Linked DNA regions of Cricetulus griseus. The protein of the gene in region 1 interacts with the protein of each later gene in a biochemical or structural test. Links are inferred from orthologs where the notes say so. Each region holds a gene or a part of one and is shown in the gene's direction. Other genes may lie near its edges.

Evidence for each region.
Region 2: of the proteins of Prkca (region 1) and Mgmt, one has a biochemical effect on the other in vitro, tested with the Homo sapiens proteins (2 studies listed by BioGRID). The link is inferred for Cricetulus griseus from reciprocal best matches to the Homo sapiens genes PRKCA and MGMT.
Region 3: the proteins of Prkca (region 1) and Hdac6 form a complex in vitro, tested with the Homo sapiens proteins (2 studies listed by BioGRID, with this or other methods). The link is inferred for Cricetulus griseus from reciprocal best matches to the Homo sapiens genes PRKCA and HDAC6.
Region 4: the proteins of Prkca (region 1) and Slc9a3r2 form a complex in vitro, tested with the Homo sapiens proteins (2 studies listed by BioGRID and IntAct, with this or other methods). The link is inferred for Cricetulus griseus from reciprocal best matches to the Homo sapiens genes PRKCA and NHERF2.
Region 5: of the proteins of Prkca (region 1) and high mobility group protein HMG-I/HMG-Y-like, one has a biochemical effect on the other in vitro, tested with the Homo sapiens proteins (2 studies listed by BioGRID). The link is inferred for Cricetulus griseus from reciprocal best matches to the Homo sapiens genes PRKCA and HMGA1.

Annotation. Positions count from the first base shown.
Region 1 is NC_048600.1:120,938,915-120,942,434, reverse strand, and holds part of Prkca (protein kinase C alpha type), read left to right. Parts: intron 1-365; coding exon 366-539; intron 540-3,106; coding exon 3,107-3,198; intron 3,199-3,520. UniProt on the Homo sapiens protein: Calcium-activated, phospholipid- and diacylglycerol (DAG)-dependent serine/threonine-protein kinase that is involved in positive and negative regulation of cell proliferation, apoptosis, differentiation, migration and adhesion, tumorigenesis, cardiac hypertrophy, angiogenesis, platelet function and inflammation, by directly phosphorylating targets such as RAF1, BCL2, CSPG4, TNNT2/CTNT, or activating signaling cascade involving MAPK1/3 (ERK1/2) and RAP1GAP.
Region 2 is NC_048596.1:63,808,742-63,811,561, reverse strand, and holds the end of Mgmt (methylated-DNA--protein-cysteine methyltransferase), read left to right. Parts: intron 1-1,942; coding exon 1,943-2,146; 3' UTR 2,147-2,302; downstream 2,303-2,820. UniProt on the Homo sapiens protein: Involved in the cellular defense against the biological effects of O6-methylguanine (O6-MeG) and O4-methylthymine (O4-MeT) in DNA. Repairs the methylated nucleobase in DNA by stoichiometrically transferring the methyl group to a cysteine residue in the enzyme.
Region 3 is NC_048604.1:114,399,670-114,403,189, reverse strand, and holds part of Hdac6 (histone deacetylase 6), read left to right. Parts: coding exon 1-58; intron 59-143; coding exon 144-272; intron 273-436; coding exon 437-605; intron 606-853; coding exon 854-987; intron 988-1,586; coding exon 1,587-1,655; intron 1,656-1,774; coding exon 1,775-1,967; intron 1,968-3,195; coding exon 3,196-3,345; intron 3,346-3,520.
Region 4 is NC_048600.1:44,234,654-44,238,927, reverse strand, and holds the start of Slc9a3r2 (Na(+)/H(+) exchange regulatory cofactor NHE-RF2), read left to right. Parts: upstream 1-1,455; 5' UTR 1,456-1,638; coding exon 1,639-1,851; intron 1,852-4,095; coding exon 4,096-4,274.
Region 5 is NC_048596.1:201,330,216-201,332,380, reverse strand, and holds high mobility group protein HMG-I/HMG-Y-like, read left to right. Parts: upstream 1-1,283; 5' UTR 1,284-1,360; coding exon 1,361-1,651; downstream 1,652-2,165. UniProt on the Homo sapiens protein: HMG-I/Y bind preferentially to the minor groove of A+T rich regions in double-stranded DNA. It is suggested that these proteins could function in nucleosome phasing and in the 3'-end processing of mRNA transcripts.

The DNA of each region.
Region 1 (3,520 bases):
TACACTGAAATAAATCATTTCCCCCTTAATTTTTTTTGGTCAGTGTATTGTATCACAGCAACAGAACTGAAGCTAGAACAGACCTTAGTTCCTACAGGGACTCCCTCTCCCCACTATTGCCAGGGACTCCCACTCCCCACTATTGCCACACCAGGGACCAAGACTTCTGCATGTGGACCGTAAGCGCTGCTACCCATAATGGAACCATATCAAAATGGCTAAGTATGTTTTTCATCTCACACTCTCAGACTTGCACCATGGGTTGCTGAACGGTCTCCTGCCCTTGTTCCTCACAACCTCCACTCCCACTCCCAGACTCCACTGCCCACCAGTGTTGAGCCTTCTCTCCTTCCCTCCACCCCCAGGTGATGCTCGCTGACAGGAAGGGAACAGAGGAACTGTATGCCATCAAAATCCTGAAGAAGGACGTGGTGATCCAGGATGATGACGTGGAGTGCACCATGGTGGAAAAGCGGGTTCTGGCCCTGCTGGATAAGCCCCCGTTCCTGACCCAGCTGCACTCCTGCTTCCAGACAGTGGTAAAACAATGGATTCTCTCTCAGACACCCCCTCTTACCTGGAGGCTGAATCATGGTCTCAAGACCCACCCACTTACCCTGCTGATTAAATTCAGTTTCCTTTGGGGACAGGCTGCCACTATTCATCCCTCATTGCGTTATGTTAGATATAAGTAATCCAGAGGTGATTTGGGTTCAGTAGGCAAATGTGCATGGATTACATGCAAATACTAAACCACTTTAAATAAGGGGCTTGCACATGGGCGGATCTGGGTGTCCATGAGGGTCCTAGAAGTGGCTGTATGAGAAAGGTCTTCTCCATGCAAGCCCTATGCTAGGACTTACACAAAACAGCCATAAATTCACAGCCCTGTCTTCTTCTTTAGCAAACCAGGCTGGCCTCGAACTCAAAGATCTGCCTTCCTCTGCCTCCCAAGTGCTGGGATTAAAGGCATGCACCAAGCCCAACTCATTGTGGGATATCTTTTTTTTTTTTTTTTTTTTTTTTTTTTTTTTTTTTTTTTTTGGTTTTTCGAGACAGGGTTTCTCTGTGTATCTTTGGAGCCTATCCTGGCACTCACTCTGGAGACCAGGCTGGCCTCGAACTCACAGAGATCCACCTGCCTGTGCCTGCCGAGTGCTGGGATTAAAGGAGTGCACCACCAACGCCTGGCTTCATTGTGGTATATCTTAATGTGTATGTTTCTGTGGTAGATGGAAAGCCCTACAGTGCCTTTGTAATATGAACTTTTTTTCTTTTTAATTTTACTCTGTGACAAAGGTCACAGTGTTATTAGGGCCATTTATGAGGACTTTTTTTCCCCTGAAAAGGGTCAGAGAGTAGATATAGGTTTTGCATGTCTACTGTAACTCATCTTGTAACTCCTCATCACAGTGGGGATGTGGCTGCAGGTGACAGGGAAGTGGACAGACGTGGCTTTGTCCTTAGAACACTAAAGTCTGAGTTTCACATGCCAGAAAATATTATTTCTTGTGACTTTTTTTTACAGCTCATGGGCTGCAGGACAGGGCATAGCTTGCTACTCCTGCTGTGTCATTCATTATACAGGGACATGCTCCTTAGGAAATGGAGTATCTTGGCCAGTATTCAAGGCCAGCCTGGTCTACAAAGTGAGTTCTAGGACAGCCAAGACCGTTACACAGAGAAGCCTGTCTCAATAAGTAAACAAACAAATAAATGCATACCACAATGTGACAGGTGTTCTCCACCTCCAAGCCCCCTTTTAAATGAGGTACAGTTGTCAGGTCTCACTCCTCCAATAGCTGTCATTATCTGTCATCTTCTTTATAGCTGCCCTATAGTCAGAAATGGATCCATGATTATGTTCCCCTTTTAAAATCTTAGAAAACACCTTAAATGCCTTTGGATGGGCAGAGTCTCAAAATGGGACATCCCTGTGGGCACTGCTTGTGTGGAGGCTGCAGAGCCAGCATTGGCCACTGTGTGTCAGCCTCACACTGGTCAGCTCCTGCCCCAGTGTCCCCGCTGCTACACCACACACACACACACACACACACACACACACACACACACACACACACACACTGCTCCAGCTCTCCTGGAGTGCCAGAGAGATAGTGGCAAGTAGGAGAGAGAACTGAATCTCAACCCTGCTTTGTGACCCCGCAGACACTAGTGCAGCCCTGGAAAGTTGCAAAGCAATGAAGATGTCATTAAAGATAGAGTGGAGCTCCGAAGCCACTCACGGCCGCCAGCACCAGCTCCCTCATCTCTCCTTCCCCCAAGCTGCAGTTTCATGCTTAGTAACCTCTGCAAAAGTGGGGAGTTTTCTAGACTCGAGCAGAGGTCAGCTTTTATGGTGCTCTGTTGTGCTCTTGGTTATTTCCTCATTAAATTCCCTGCTCTCACGCATCTGTCCCAGCATAATGTCCTCATAAATATGCAGACGTACTTGGCTCCCTGATTTATGCCCTCCATGGGACCAGCACTTAGCATACCAGTGACAGAGAAAATTTTTATAAAAAGGCAATATTGGAACACATTATGGAGGCAAAAGAACATTGATTAAAATTTCCATTTATGGTGCTCCCCTCCCCCGCCACTAAATATCATTAAGTTTGTATAATTTATGAGTTCAACCTAACCCAAGAGATATATTTTCAGAAGCATCCATTTAAGCTTGTTACTATATTAGCATGGCATACCTCCTAGATGTCACAAGCCAGATTTTACACATGTGCACCATCGATAACAGAGGTTAAGATAAAATGATGGGCCCATGTGGAATCTCCGCACCACCACCAGCTTAGTGATATATCATCTGTACAGGGGGGATGGGGGTGAATGAAGCCCTTATGGTAATAAAGCTCATATGAAGCCAGGAAGCAGGCGTGTTCTCAGACAGCCATCACCCACAGCCATAGGATTGTTACAGGGCATTACCTTTCCCAGGGCCCCATGCCATAGGGTGAGTTGTGTATCCCCCAGCATCACCGGGAAAAGACTGGGAAGAGTGCCCAGAAGAGCAGATCTGCCAGTGCCACCCCGTATTTGCTCATGAGGGAGGAGCCCCACTCACCACTCATGTGTGAACCTTGGTCTACAGGACCGGCTATACTTCGTCATGGAATATGTCAACGGTGGGGACCTCATGTACCACATTCAGCAAGTAGGGAAATTTAAGGAGCCCCAAGCAGTGTGAGTACTTTTTTTTTATCTTTATTAATATTGTGGGTTGGTCTTTTTGTTGTTGGTTTGTTTTGTCTTGTTTTGTTTTGTTTGAATCCTGTAATACAGATAGCCTAATACTCCCAACTGGGAACTCCTTCTGGATAAAATGTCCAGGGTGACTCTACTCACTTGAATGTAAGCATTGAAACTTCCCCGAGTAGCAGATGCACAGAAAGGACCCATGAATAACAGATTTTCTAAGGACTAGTCGATTCTATTCTCAGCAAATTGGGCATGTTGGTGCCCTCCCTCTCTGTCACCCACTAACACCCCTATAGATTGACTACTT
Region 2 (2,820 bases), on another chromosome or scaffold:
ATCCACAGCATTCTCTGCAGCAGGCACACAAGGCATGCCCCTTGACAGGGCAGGTATGCAGCCATCCCTGGCAGGCTGAGTGTAGTCACGTGGTTGCCCAGGGAGAGAAGTTGGGGGGTGGGTCCAAATGTTACTCCACCCACGATGAGTTTCACAGGTGATACCATTTTTTTGTACCCATGCTCTGAACCAGTGAGGCATAAAGGTATGGGGATACCAATATATTCCTTTATTGGAAAGATAGCAATATTGGAGGAGATGACGTAGCCCTGGCGTCTTTCCGTTGATTCCCACCAGGGTGATGTCCCATCACCAGCCCTGCCATCTCTGATCACAGGTTGACCTTCTCAGAAGGAATCCAGAGTACAGACAAAACTTCTGCAGACCCCCTGACTGTTCTCATCCCTTCCTTCCCTGCAGGGTGGAGGCAGGTCAGACCAGAAGTGTCTCTACCCACACAACAGAAGGGCTTCAGTAGCTGTCTAGCCTGCATGGATGATGGGCCATGGAGCCTCACTCCACATAGCCCAGCCATGTGCTCAGTGACATAGGCAGACATTTGTCAGTCCCCTGTGGACCGCTGCTGAAGTAAACATACTCCCTCTACAGAGACAGGTATTCCCTTGTCCTAGTGACTGGAGGTCAAAGAACGCAGCCTGGACAAGGTTATAGCCTTGTGGCTACAGGTTGAGAATCAGAGTCCCTCTGGTGTGAACAGTGCCTTGGAGCCAAGGCCCCATGAACACCTGGCATCCAGATCTTTTGAAGGTGTCTACAGGTTTGCATGGTGCCAGCTATGGTAAATGATGGGCCAGTGGGCTCATGAGATTACAGGCCCCTGTTTTTGAGTTTGTCAGAGTCAATAGGAAGAAACACCCATTTTTGATAACTCCCTTGAATCATTCCCCAATTCTTTGATTGGTGTGACATTTTGCAATAGCAGGTGAGTGGGCAAATGGCTCAGAACACACAGACCCCACCACAGCCAAGGCATACGCATGTCTGGACATCATCCCTGGTACCCTCTGACAGTCATCTCCACCTTACATGCTTGTTCCCACTAAGAAGTGGCCTCCCTTAGAGTCAATCCACCATCTTAGTGTAGACCATTGAAGCTTAGTTTTACTCACACCATTAAAAACTGGAGAGCGGTCTGGGAACCTCAGACCATCTGAGTTGGGAAGCCGCAGCAACTTGATAAGGACTTCCTAGTCCACAGGCCTTGTTGGGGTGGAGTGGCCCACTGATCACACCTGGCTTTGGATGTGCTGCCAGTGGCAGCGTGTCCAGGGGAAGGCATACATGTAGGTGCCTTTGAGACTCTGTGTCTTCAGAAGAAAGGGGAAAGAAAAACTCCCAATACATAGGCACAGCATAACTGGCTTGGCCAACTTTTCTTGTAAAGGCAACTGGGAAAGATTTTGTGCGTTCACGAAGCAGCCACAGATGGCAGCCAAAGGCATGACTGTGCTCAAATGAAACTTTATTTACAAAATCTGAAGGTGGACAACAGCAGCCCCTCAGCCATGGTTTGCCAAGCCCTTAGGTAAACTGGGCCTGCCATCATCCCTGAAGATTCTCATTACAGCTTGGGGATGGCAGAGAAAGTGTGTGGAACTCAGAAACGTAGTTTTAATTTGAGTAGGTACACATGGTAAATCACTCCTCAGATGCAATCAGTGCCCTCCTCCTCAACCTTGATACAAAAAATCTCATATCCCACACATACCTCAAAGCAGGTGTTCCGTTCCTCAAAGGATACCTTCAAGGCCTCTGAAGGGTGCACAGTAGGGGTACTGAAGGAGCTAGTATGACCACCATGCCAGCAGCACGCCCACTGGGGATCTACCTAGTGGAGCTGAACAGTCACAGGCAAGACCTGGTAGGTAGCACAGGAACCTCAACCCAGAGCCAGACTGACAGTGACATTTCTGCTTTTCAGGTCCCCATCCTCATCCCCTGCCACAGGGTGATCTGCAGTAACGGCAGCATTGGTAATTACTCTGGAGGAGGGCAGGCTGTGAAGGAGTGGCTTCTGGCCCATGAGGGCATCCCAACTAGGCAGCCAGCCTGCAAGGACTTGGGTCTTACCGGGACCCGGCTCAAGCCATCCGGTGGCTCCACCAGCTCCAAGCTATCTGGCTGAAATTGAGTAACTGTTTGAGTGACACACAGATGTAACGCCGTGTCGGAATCGGGTGTGTGGTGGTACCACTATATTAAAAGAGCTGGATGTGTCCTGGGGGACTCGATGTGGCTGCCCTTTCTTGTTTCTACATTTTACAGCAGAATGAGTTCAGACGACCCACCCTCGTGTATGTCATCAGTTCCCTTCTCTGACATGGTTATTGTTCTATTTTTAATGCCTATTAAAATGGGGGTAAGAGTGAGAAAGGCCTTGTGAGCCTTAGGGCCCCTTTACATGAAGGGAGATGCATCTGACCCCTGCAGGCAACAGCTAGCCACCTCACACAGTCCACACTACACAGCTGACCCCACCCTAGCAGGACCCCCAAGTCATCCTGCAAGCCACTTATTGTATGAAGATGGCTGCCCCATTTAGTTCCTAACACCCCACCCTTGCTGGCTGGAGGACGGATAGGCTAAGAAATAAATACCGTGTGGAGAGTCTGTGGTGTTTCTCCATCTACCAGGAAAGTGTCTTGCATCCACTGTGGCACTGTGTTCTACAATGGTTAGATAGAAAAAAAGTACCATCTTCCAAAAATGATTTGGAATGCTGAATAGCACACAGGACATAAATTTGACTGGGCTGGTGCCCTTCTAGGCATTCAAGTCACCTCCAAATTCTAGCCATTT
Region 3 (3,520 bases), on another chromosome or scaffold:
ATCGCACTGGGCTGGTCTATGATGAAAAGATGATGAGTCACTGCAACCTATGGGACAAGTATGTAGTCAGAGGGCTGGAATGAGTTCTGGGATCACTCATCTCAGTTACTGAACCCCTGGTTCTGGTTTTCCCCCACTACTAGTCATCACCCTGAGACACCTCAGCGCATCTTACGGATCATGTGCCACCTGGAGGAGGTGGGCCTCACAGCACGCTGCCTCATCCTACCTGTGCGGCCTGCCATGGATGCTGAGCTTCTTGCTTGCCACAGGTCAGACCCTGTGCCAGGGCTAGACCAGGTGCAGGTTATAGGGACATTCTAGGGGTAGGGCCTGGGGCTCTCCTCTAAGGTGGGTGGAGCTATTGCTCACCTACAGAGGTCCAAGTTCTTATCTGGGGATGTGCTCATGGCTAGTTGTTCCTTTGTGTCTCCAGTGCCGAGTATGTGGATCGTGTTCGGGCCACAGAAAAGATGAAAACCCGGGAGCTACACCGTGAAGGTGCCAACTTTGACTCCATCTACATCTGCCCCAGCACCTTTGCCTGTGCGCAGCTTGCCACAGGGGCTGCCTGCTGCCTCGTGGAAGCTGTGCTTTCAGGACAGGTGCGTCTTCTGTGGGTGCCAGTGCCAGTGCAGTTTGACTGGAGAGATGAGGTCCTGAGGAGACAGAAAGAGAGGACCACCTGCTCTTACTTAGGTGGACAGAGGCAATGGGAGAGTGTGCTGGGAGGAGCATCCCAGAGTGACTCCCCAACTAACTGGTAGAGTAGACAAGAGAAAGGGAAGGGAAGAACGGAAAGGCCAAGAGGGAGGGCCAGAGATCCAGTCTTCCTCACTGCTCCTCTCTGCAGGTGTTGAATGGCATTGCAATAGTGCGTCCTCCAGGACACCACGCAGAACCAGATGCTGCTTGTGGTTTCTGCTTTTTCAACTCTGTAGCTGTGGCTGCTCGACATGCTCAAGCCATTGCTGGGCGTGCCCTGCGGTAAGAGATCCCCACTGATCCCCCAAACCTGACCTTTGAAGGGACCTGGACACTTCTCCTGCCCCCATTCAGTCTTATGTGGCAGATCCATGGTCCAACCCCAGGAGCTTTCATAGAAACAAGGAAGGGTCCACCGGGCAGCACTTGACTACAAAAGAGACAGGAGGATTGTATTAGTGTCACCAGATCATTTCATCTAGATGCTTGATAAACTAGGATCCTGGGTATTCTACATTCCTGATCCCTAACAGGTAATTCCAACAAAACCCAAGCCCAGGCTACCGGTACTTACTCCAAAAGACTTAGGGTTTGGCATGTGACATTAGTCAACCAGTCCCAGAGCCCTATTCCCTAGTCAGTCCTCAGAAGAGACTAGGACCTAGCCTCAAGTACTTGTTTAGGCCCATAGTAAAGCCCTTAGAAACCAAGGTTAGACCTTTAGTCTTAAAATGATGGCCAGTGCTTTCACAAGATACCCGTGGTCCTGCTACCCAGCAACAAATGCTTCCGAAGACCTCAGGAGTCTAGCTAGCCAGAGCCCTCCCTCTCCTCGAGCCCTCCCTCTCCTAGCTGCTAAAAGGAGCTATTTCCCTCCCCAGGATCCTGATCGTGGACTGGGATGTTCATCATGGTAATGGAACTCAGCACATGTTTGAAGATGACCCCAGGTGAAGGATGGGACTATGGGCAGAATGTGGTGTGGGAGGGTGCTGCACCATATTTGCAGGGATGTTTGTGGCCCCTAACTTATTGTGGCCCCTTTCTCATCCTACCCTCTCCCCGGCAGTGTATTATATGTGTCCGTGCACCGGTATGACCATGGCACTTTCTTCCCCATGGGGGATGAGGGTGCCAGTAGCCAAGTAGGCCGAGCTGCCGGTATAGGCTTCACTGTCAATGTGCCCTGGAATGGGCCCCGCATGGGTGATGCTGACTACCTGACTGCCTGGCATCGTCTGGTACTTCCCATCGCCTATGAGGTAAGTAAGGCTCTGGTCATTATGTGACATCTGTGTAGGTGGCAGCACTTACCTGCCTCCTCAGCATGTGTGTTTGAATACAAGGTCATTTGGTGGCTGTTGGGACAGAAGTGGCAGTGACAGCCTCATGTATCTGTCTGTCTGAGCATGCACATATGGCTGCATGTGAGTGGCCTCTCTGTATGACATTTTATATGTGAGCAACTGTCTTGGCTGTGTATGTATGCATGTGTGTGCCTCCTGGATAAGTCTGCCAATGTGTGGGCATGGTTGTAAGGGTATCCGTAAGAGATGCTGTCTCTGTGAAACTGTGTGTACAAGGGAGGTAGGAGGTTGAATGCATGTGTATAATGTTGCACAGTGCCGGTTATCTTTCTATATGTGATAGGTGTGATACTGGATGCCAGCCACTCAATACTGCTGTCTTGTGATAGCTTGAGAGAGATCTTCTCAGTGTTGGAGGCTATAGTGAGATCATCATCATCATGTCTGGTTGACTGGGTCCAGATGTCTATGTGTTGGGTCTCCCTGAGTGCTCTGACTCCGGGTTGGCCTAGCTGTGTGGCCAACCTGGGGGCGTGTGTGTGTGTGTGTGTGTGTGTGTGTGTGTGTGTGTGTGTGTGTGTGTGTGTGTGTGACTGACTCCATGAGGACGCAACTCTGCCAGTCTGGACTTAGGAGTGTGCTTCTGGATTTGCATGCATGTGACTATAAACAGGTGGGAGAAACTAGCCTTCATGTGTCTGTCCAACTGCATGCAAGTGATTGCCCCCTGTGGGCATGAGCAGAGTGTGCATAACTATTATAACTGTGGTGACTGTATGCAGCACATTGTGCCTGTGCAGGGGTGGCTGTGTCTTACTTTCCCCGTAAGAAACCAAGTATATATGTGGAACTGGTGTGAGTTGCAGTTCTGCCAGTGTGCGTATCTAAGATTGGGAGTGGGGGTGTATGACACTCATATTAGTATATATGATGTATGGGCCTAGGCCCTTGGTTCATGTCAGACTAATTCTACCACTGAACTACCGGCTCTTCGCACTAGTTCGTGTTCCCAACCCTAACCTAGCCTTAACAGGCTGTCCACGTCTGCTCCTTATTTTCAGTTCTCTGTTCTCATAACCTCTAGGTTCTGAATTGCATTTCCATGCCTTCGTTTGTCATTGTTTCCATCACTTACTGCCTCCCAAAGCCTTCATGCTGTGTGTCTCTTCTCTCCTTACTGCAGTTTAACCCGGAACTGGTACTGGTTTCAGCTGGTTTTGATGCTGCACAAGGGGACCCACTGGGGGGCTGCCAAGTGACACCTGAGGGTTATGCCCACCTTACTCACCTGCTGATGGGCCTTGCCAATGGCCGCATTATCCTTATCCTAGAGGTAACTCTCTTGATCCTTCTTTCCATGGCAGGAGGGCAGTTTGGAAGGGTTGGCTATGTCAGTCTTAGAAAGCTTACTTGTCGGAACAGCACTGTGAGGTAGAGTCTGTTTAGCTCATGTTCCTCTCAAGGTCAGAGGGACCAGCTGGTTGTAGCGGCACATACCATCCCAGCAC
Region 4 (4,274 bases), about 77 Mb from region 1:
AGTTAGTACGTCTGGGATAGTCCTGGTTGTTGTGGGATAATTTCCAAGTTCCACACAGGTGGGATATACAGTGAGCATACTGTTCATACACATTATCTTACAATCTCCAGCATTAAGCTGGACCCAGAGAAACCAACCCTAAAACAGACAAACCCTGGGTAAGGCAGGCCGACCGATGGAGATGGTCAGCTGGGCCAGAGCCTATGGCAGCATCATCCAGAATCTGCAGAGAGGGTTGGGGGCAGGGAGCAACAATGTATCTTCAGCCTAAGTGCCTTTCAGGGGCAGCCACTAGGGTGTGGGTACCCAAGGGGCTGCTGCCTATGATTTTGCTCAGAGGCGGTCCTGGTGCTTGGGTGGAGGTGGAGAGCTCCAGCTAAGGGCTCCGGAAAGAGGAGAGGGAGAGGCAAACACTGAACTAGGGCTGCATCTCCTATCCACATGGGGAATTGTATGAACTGGCTATACCTGATCCAGGGGGACCAGGTAAGTGAGGAGCAGTGGGCTGGGGAGAAGCAGACTGTAGGTGAGCCTGGATCTCAGCTGCCATATGTGCCTGAGAATATACTTGCAGGTCAAAGTGCAGTCTCACAGTACTAGGCTCCAAAAAAGGTTCAGAACCTCCCTTTGCCAGGCCTCGGTTTCCTGATCTGTAAAATGGCCTCTTTCCTCCGGGGTTGTTCTGAGGGTAACTGTATAGGAATATGCATAAGTGATTCTCTGAGGGACTGCTGTCCCGCAGGTGAGAACTTACACAAGTGTAAAAGTAAGAGTTTATGGGGGATAGAGGATGGGAGACCTGTGGGGTTTAATATGGGACAGCTGGTCACCACCTAGAGCTCAGGAGCCAAAGTTCATCCTTAGCAGAGATCATACCAGGTCAAGAGGAAGGCAGCAAATACCCTTGCATCTCTGCCAGATAAACTCATGTTCCCGAAAAGCAGGGACTATGGGTTCAGGATGTTTAGTGAACAAACACTTCCTGGGAGGGGCAGGGGGTCACCTAGTCACTGGCATGTCTCTTTAAATTTGTATTTTGCCTGTTGCACTCTGTGTTGGGGATCTAAATTCAGAGGGCAAAGAGGGAGCGGCCAGAGCAATCCCGGTGCGGTGCGTAGAGGTGTATTCCGAGGAGGGAGAGCAGCGGCCCCTGTTCTTGCCCTCTGGTCTCTGTGTAGGGGTCCTTTCTCTAAGCTCCCTATTTCAGGAACCTCTTCAATGTAGGGAATGTAGGGTATGCAGGTGTCTATGAGTGGTTCCTGGAACAGAGGGCGAAGGTGCTTCGGAGGGTGGCCAAAATGGGATGACATAGGAGTCCCAGGGCTCGGGGTTGTGACCCTGCAATCTTCGCTCCATGGTCTGGGCTCCCAGGCAGGGGCCTAGCTAGCGGGGCTTGGGCTAGGGCGGGGGCAGCCAGGAGGGCGGGGAAGGGGCGGGCGCGGGGGCGGCGCGCTGCAGCAGGAGCAGGAGCAGGGGCCAGGGCCAGAGCCGAAGCCGGAGCCCGAGGCGACGCGAGCTGAGCGGGAGCCACAGAGGCCGCTGCCTGCTCTCCCGCCCGCGCCTCCGCCGCCTCCGCGCTCCAGCCTGCGGGGGTGTGAGCCGTGGCCAGTCGCGGCCAGCCAGGGGGCAGCGGGTGCCATGGCCGCGCAGGAGTCGCTGCGGCCCCGCCTGTGTCGCCTGGTGCGCGGCGAGCAAGGCTACGGCTTCCACCTGCATGGCGAGAAGGGCCGCCGTGGCCAGTTCATCCGGCGCGTGGAGCCAGGCTCCCCAGCCGAGGCGGCCGCGCTGCGCGCCGGGGACCGCCTGGTTGAGGTCAACGGCGTCAACGTAGAGGGCGAGACGCATCACCAGGTGGGTCCCTGCGCTGCGCCCCGCCCCCCGGCACCCTCCTGGGGGCGCGTCCCTACAGCGCTGGCCAAGATGCCAACAACCCCCACTTCTGCGTGCCACATGGTGGGACCCGGCCAGGGTCGCACAGGGGCCTGCCTGGGTTCGGTGTTGAGGTGTGGGACGTGGCCGGCCAGCTGGCCTCCTGGTGAGGAAGCTCAGTCCTGCACTAGCGGGGGAGGGAGGACATCCTGGTAGGGAGGGGCCGCACTGCGGCTACTCTGGCCAGGGCCCTGGCTGCTTCTGCTAGTTTTGGCCTCTGTGTGCCATGGAGGGGGAGGAGGTGGCTAAGGCACCTTGTGGCCTTGTGGTACAGATGCTTTTCTGTCAATGTGTGAGTGCTTGCAGGTCTCTCTGGGGTCATCCATATGAACACACTACCCAACTGTTCCAGGATGAAAGCATTCAGTGTCAGTGCTGGAATGTGTGTCTAGGGTTGGGTGGATACATCAAACATGTATGCCAGCTGTGTGTGTGTGTGTATGTGTGTGTCCGTCCATCTGTCTGTCTGCATGATTGGATATACTGGTGTACTTCTCTCATGGGCCCTTATGTCTGGGTCTGGCAGTCAGCACCATGGCAGTATACTTCCTTGGTGTCAGAAACAGCCTCCTCCTGAGAGGCTGCCTGGCCCTCCCTGTATAGGTCACTGTTCAGCTCTTGCCTTCTGTAGCCAGAGGAAGGCTGTTCTCTCCTCAGGTTTTACCTCTGGGTGTCTGTATCCTGCTGAGGGGTAGACACACCTCAGACCTTGGCTAGGGCCCAGACTTCTTCCACCATTTCTGCCTGGATCCCTGGTACCAGCATGTCCATGACCTACCTGTGTGGTTAGTCTTGGAGCCTGGAGAAGGCAGGGTGGTACTTCACTGGGCCATGAGGGAATTCCTGTCTCCCTCAGGAACCTGCTTTCTACCTACAGTGACCACTGGATTTGGTTGTGTGATGAAGAGTTTGGGATGGAGCCCAAAGGTTGGCCCACAAGGCAAGGTAGAGACCTGCAGGGTTGGTGTCATCTGCCTCTAGCAGTTACTGGAATCCACCTGTTTATCGCAGGTTTCTGGGGTGCTAGTCCCTACAGACTTTCACGCAGAGCCACATTCGATCCTTTCTCCTGCTCAGGAAGATAGGAGGTAAAACCATGACTCCTATTTTACTGACTGGCTCCGTTCCCATGCCAAAAGGTGTCAGGGTGCTGGGATCCTGTTCTATTGGTCACAGGGAGAGAGGATGGTCATGGAGGGGCCAGGTGAAGGTGGCTGTGGGTCAGACCTTCCTATCTGTGATAGGATAGCATGTACTAAGTGAAGTAATGATGGGGATTCCGTCTCTTCAGCCGCAGGCCTTGGTGCAGTTGTTAATGCTTCCTGCCCTTCAGATGTCCGGTGGGCATGTCTCCCTTTGAACTCAAACTAACATCCTGCATGATCCATGGTAGCCCACATGCTCTCCACACTTCACAGGCACCCATCCAGATACACAGATGGCTGTCAAGCCACACCTCTTACACTGTTGTATCTGCTACTGTTCGCCTTACCTGCTGGAGTGGGATCCTGCTTACCTGATATTTCTGGCACCTTAGGTAGAATCTCTAGTTCTTCACCCCTTTGCAGGTGCAGCAAGAATGGGTTTCTAGTCCTGGTCTGGAGGCAAATTGGAGTTCTAGAGATTTCTGGGTGTTAGATTCACACTGCATCTCAGAGAAAGAAATAAACCCAAATACTCACATTGGGGCCATGTAGCCCTCTCCTACACCTAGGCGGAAAGACAGACTTTAAAATAGATGCACATACAGACACACACACACACACAAAAGCACACACATACAGATAAGCATGCACACACACATGCATAGACTAGACTGAAATCCTGAAGCTCAACTCAATCGTTTCTGACTCTTCCATCTGGCTGCTCCTGGCATCTCCTTCCTGTCCTTACCTGAGCTTGGTGCAATGCCACAAGAGGATCCTGAAGTACTTGCAGCCTGGGCCCTAGCTCAGGGAGAAGAGGGAGGGAGCTACTGGAAACTGGGGGTGGGGGGTGGAGCTCGCAGGCCTCTCAGTCCAGCTGCCCACCCCTGGCAGGCCAACCCCTGCCTGCTGTCTGTGAGTCGTGCTTTGCCAAGAGTGGCGCCCTTTCGAAGTGGTGCCCTATCCATGTGTTGCCCAGCGTGTTGGCTGCTGATCTAGTCCTGCTACCCACCCATTCCAGGTGGTACAGAGGATCAAGGCTGTGGAGGGGCACACTCAGCTGCTTGTGGTGGACAAGGAGACAGATGAGGAACTCTGCCGGCGGCAACTGACCTGCACTGAGGAGATGGCCCATCGAGGGCTTCCACCAGCCCACAACCCCTGGGAGCCAAAGCACGACTGGGCATGCTCGAGCAGCCT
Region 5 (2,165 bases), on another chromosome or scaffold:
TCTGTCTGTACTCACAGAGAGATCCCTACGTTTCACTTAACAGGAACGAGAAGGCTAAGGGTGTCTGGGCCTGACTGGCAGCTTGGCACAGGGCTGCCATGCTCCAGCCTTATCTCCTGATCCATTATCTCTCTTGATAGTCACCTTCCAAGAGTGTCACCAGCACCCAGAGCAGGCGGGCAGATGGCTCAGTACAATTTAAGCGTTTTGCTTTTCTGCAGATTTTGGTCGATTTATAAACTGCAGGCCTAGGGAGGCGGCACGGAGCATCAGGCGTTCCCCCAAAGCAGGTTTTGGTTGCCGGAGGACATTCCCGACTATTTCAGAAGAACTTGGTGAGTCTTCCCCCACCAATCATATAGCCAATATTTATTATACAGCTTTGGATTTCACAATGACATTTTGATTCAAGCATATTATGTAGTTTGACCTTTCTAATTCCTTCATTAGTCTTCCCTGCCCTCCCTGCTAGAGCCCTTCCTCTTTCTGGTTAGATCCTTCTACCTTTATGACACATAGATATATGCACATGTATAGATACATCTTAAGCAATCTTAATGATCTCGAAGCCCCCCACAGCGAGTCCTGTGTTCTTCAAATCAACCAGCCTCATTTTTTCTTTTCTTCTCTCCCTTTTCTCTCCCTCCCTTCTTCTCCTTCTCTTCCTTCCCTCTCTCCTTCTTTCTTTCTTTCCTCTACTTCTCTTCCTTCCTTCCCTCCCTCCTTCCATCTTTTCTCCCCTCTCCTCCTCTCTCCTTCCCTCATCTCCTTCCTTTAGTTTTCTTTTTTATGTGTTTATTTTAAGATGGGGCCTTATATATCCCAGGAAGGTCTTAGGTTTACCCGGTAGGCAAGACTGGCCTTGAATTCCTGACCCTCCTGCCCCCAACCCCCAAAGTGCAGGAATCATAAGTGTGTTCCACCTCAGATATCTTCTTAAATAAATTGGAAATCATTTCACTTCCTTCACAATTAGTAGAGGCCTCTCGGGAGAAGAGGAAGCCCAAAGAAAGACAGCACCTGAGAGAACTTTATCTCAAGTACCCCAAGGCTCCGCCTAGTCCCCTGGGTGATGAGGGATGGGAAACAAAAGCCCTGGCCTCTGGGTTAGAAACAGCTAGGTTGCTTACCTCACCACAAGCAACCAGCTCCCGAATTTGATTTTTGAGAGGAACTGTGGTTTGAAAGAAGAGTTCTAGCTTTTTTTTTTTTCTTTTTTTTTTTTCTTAGCTCCCCTGAGCCGTGCTGTGCTCCTCTAACTGTGCTCCCCGACTCCGGAGTCGGGGCTATTTCTGGTGTTGGCGCTGCTCCAAGAAGGCCATCACAGCCAGTGCCCCCTACTGTCCCGTAGAGAAGGAAGATGAGCGAGTCCAGTTCAAAGTCCAGCCAGCCTCTGGCCTCCAAGCAGGAGAAGGACGGGACTGAGAAGCGAGGCCGGGGTAGGCCGCGCAAGCAGCCTCCGAAGGAGCCCAGTGAAGTACCAACACCAAAGAGACCTCGGGGCCGACCAAAGGGAAGCAAAAATAAAGGTGCTGCCAAGACACAGAAAGCTACCAGAGCTCCAGGGAGGAAACCAAGGGGCAGACCCAAGAAACTGGAGAAGGAGGAAGAGAAGGGTATCTCCCAGGAGTCCTCGGAGGAGAAGCAGTGACCATGCACAGTGCCGCCTGCTCTTTGGCCATCGAAGGAGCAGCTTTCCCTTGGGACTGGAAGCCCTGCTTCCAGGCCCCTCCCCACCCCCACTGCACACTACCGCACCAGCTGCAGGCTCTGGGGGCACCGACCTGAGCAGGATTTGGCTCAGCCCATGTGCTCTCCCAAACACACCTGCCCCCTCCCGACAAGGCTAACTTCCCATTTAGCCGCAGCCTGTGGTGCTGCGCACCTCTCTTAGAGAGAGTGGTCTCTGGGCTCTTTGTTTTGCAGGCCCTTTCTGCTCTGCTCTTCCCGGCTTCCTTGTAGAGGGAGGGTCCTGAGAGCATTCCCTGGCTTTAAAGGGCCGCAGCCCCATCTGACAAGTCCCATTGACTGGCCTAGCATCAGGTGTGGTCAGTACTGGGATGCTTAGATCCCAACATGCCCTCCCCTACCAAACTGTCACCAGGTGGGTTTCTCAGCCACTTCTGCCCCACCTTACCTAGGCCCTGACTAGGTTGGCTAGAGCC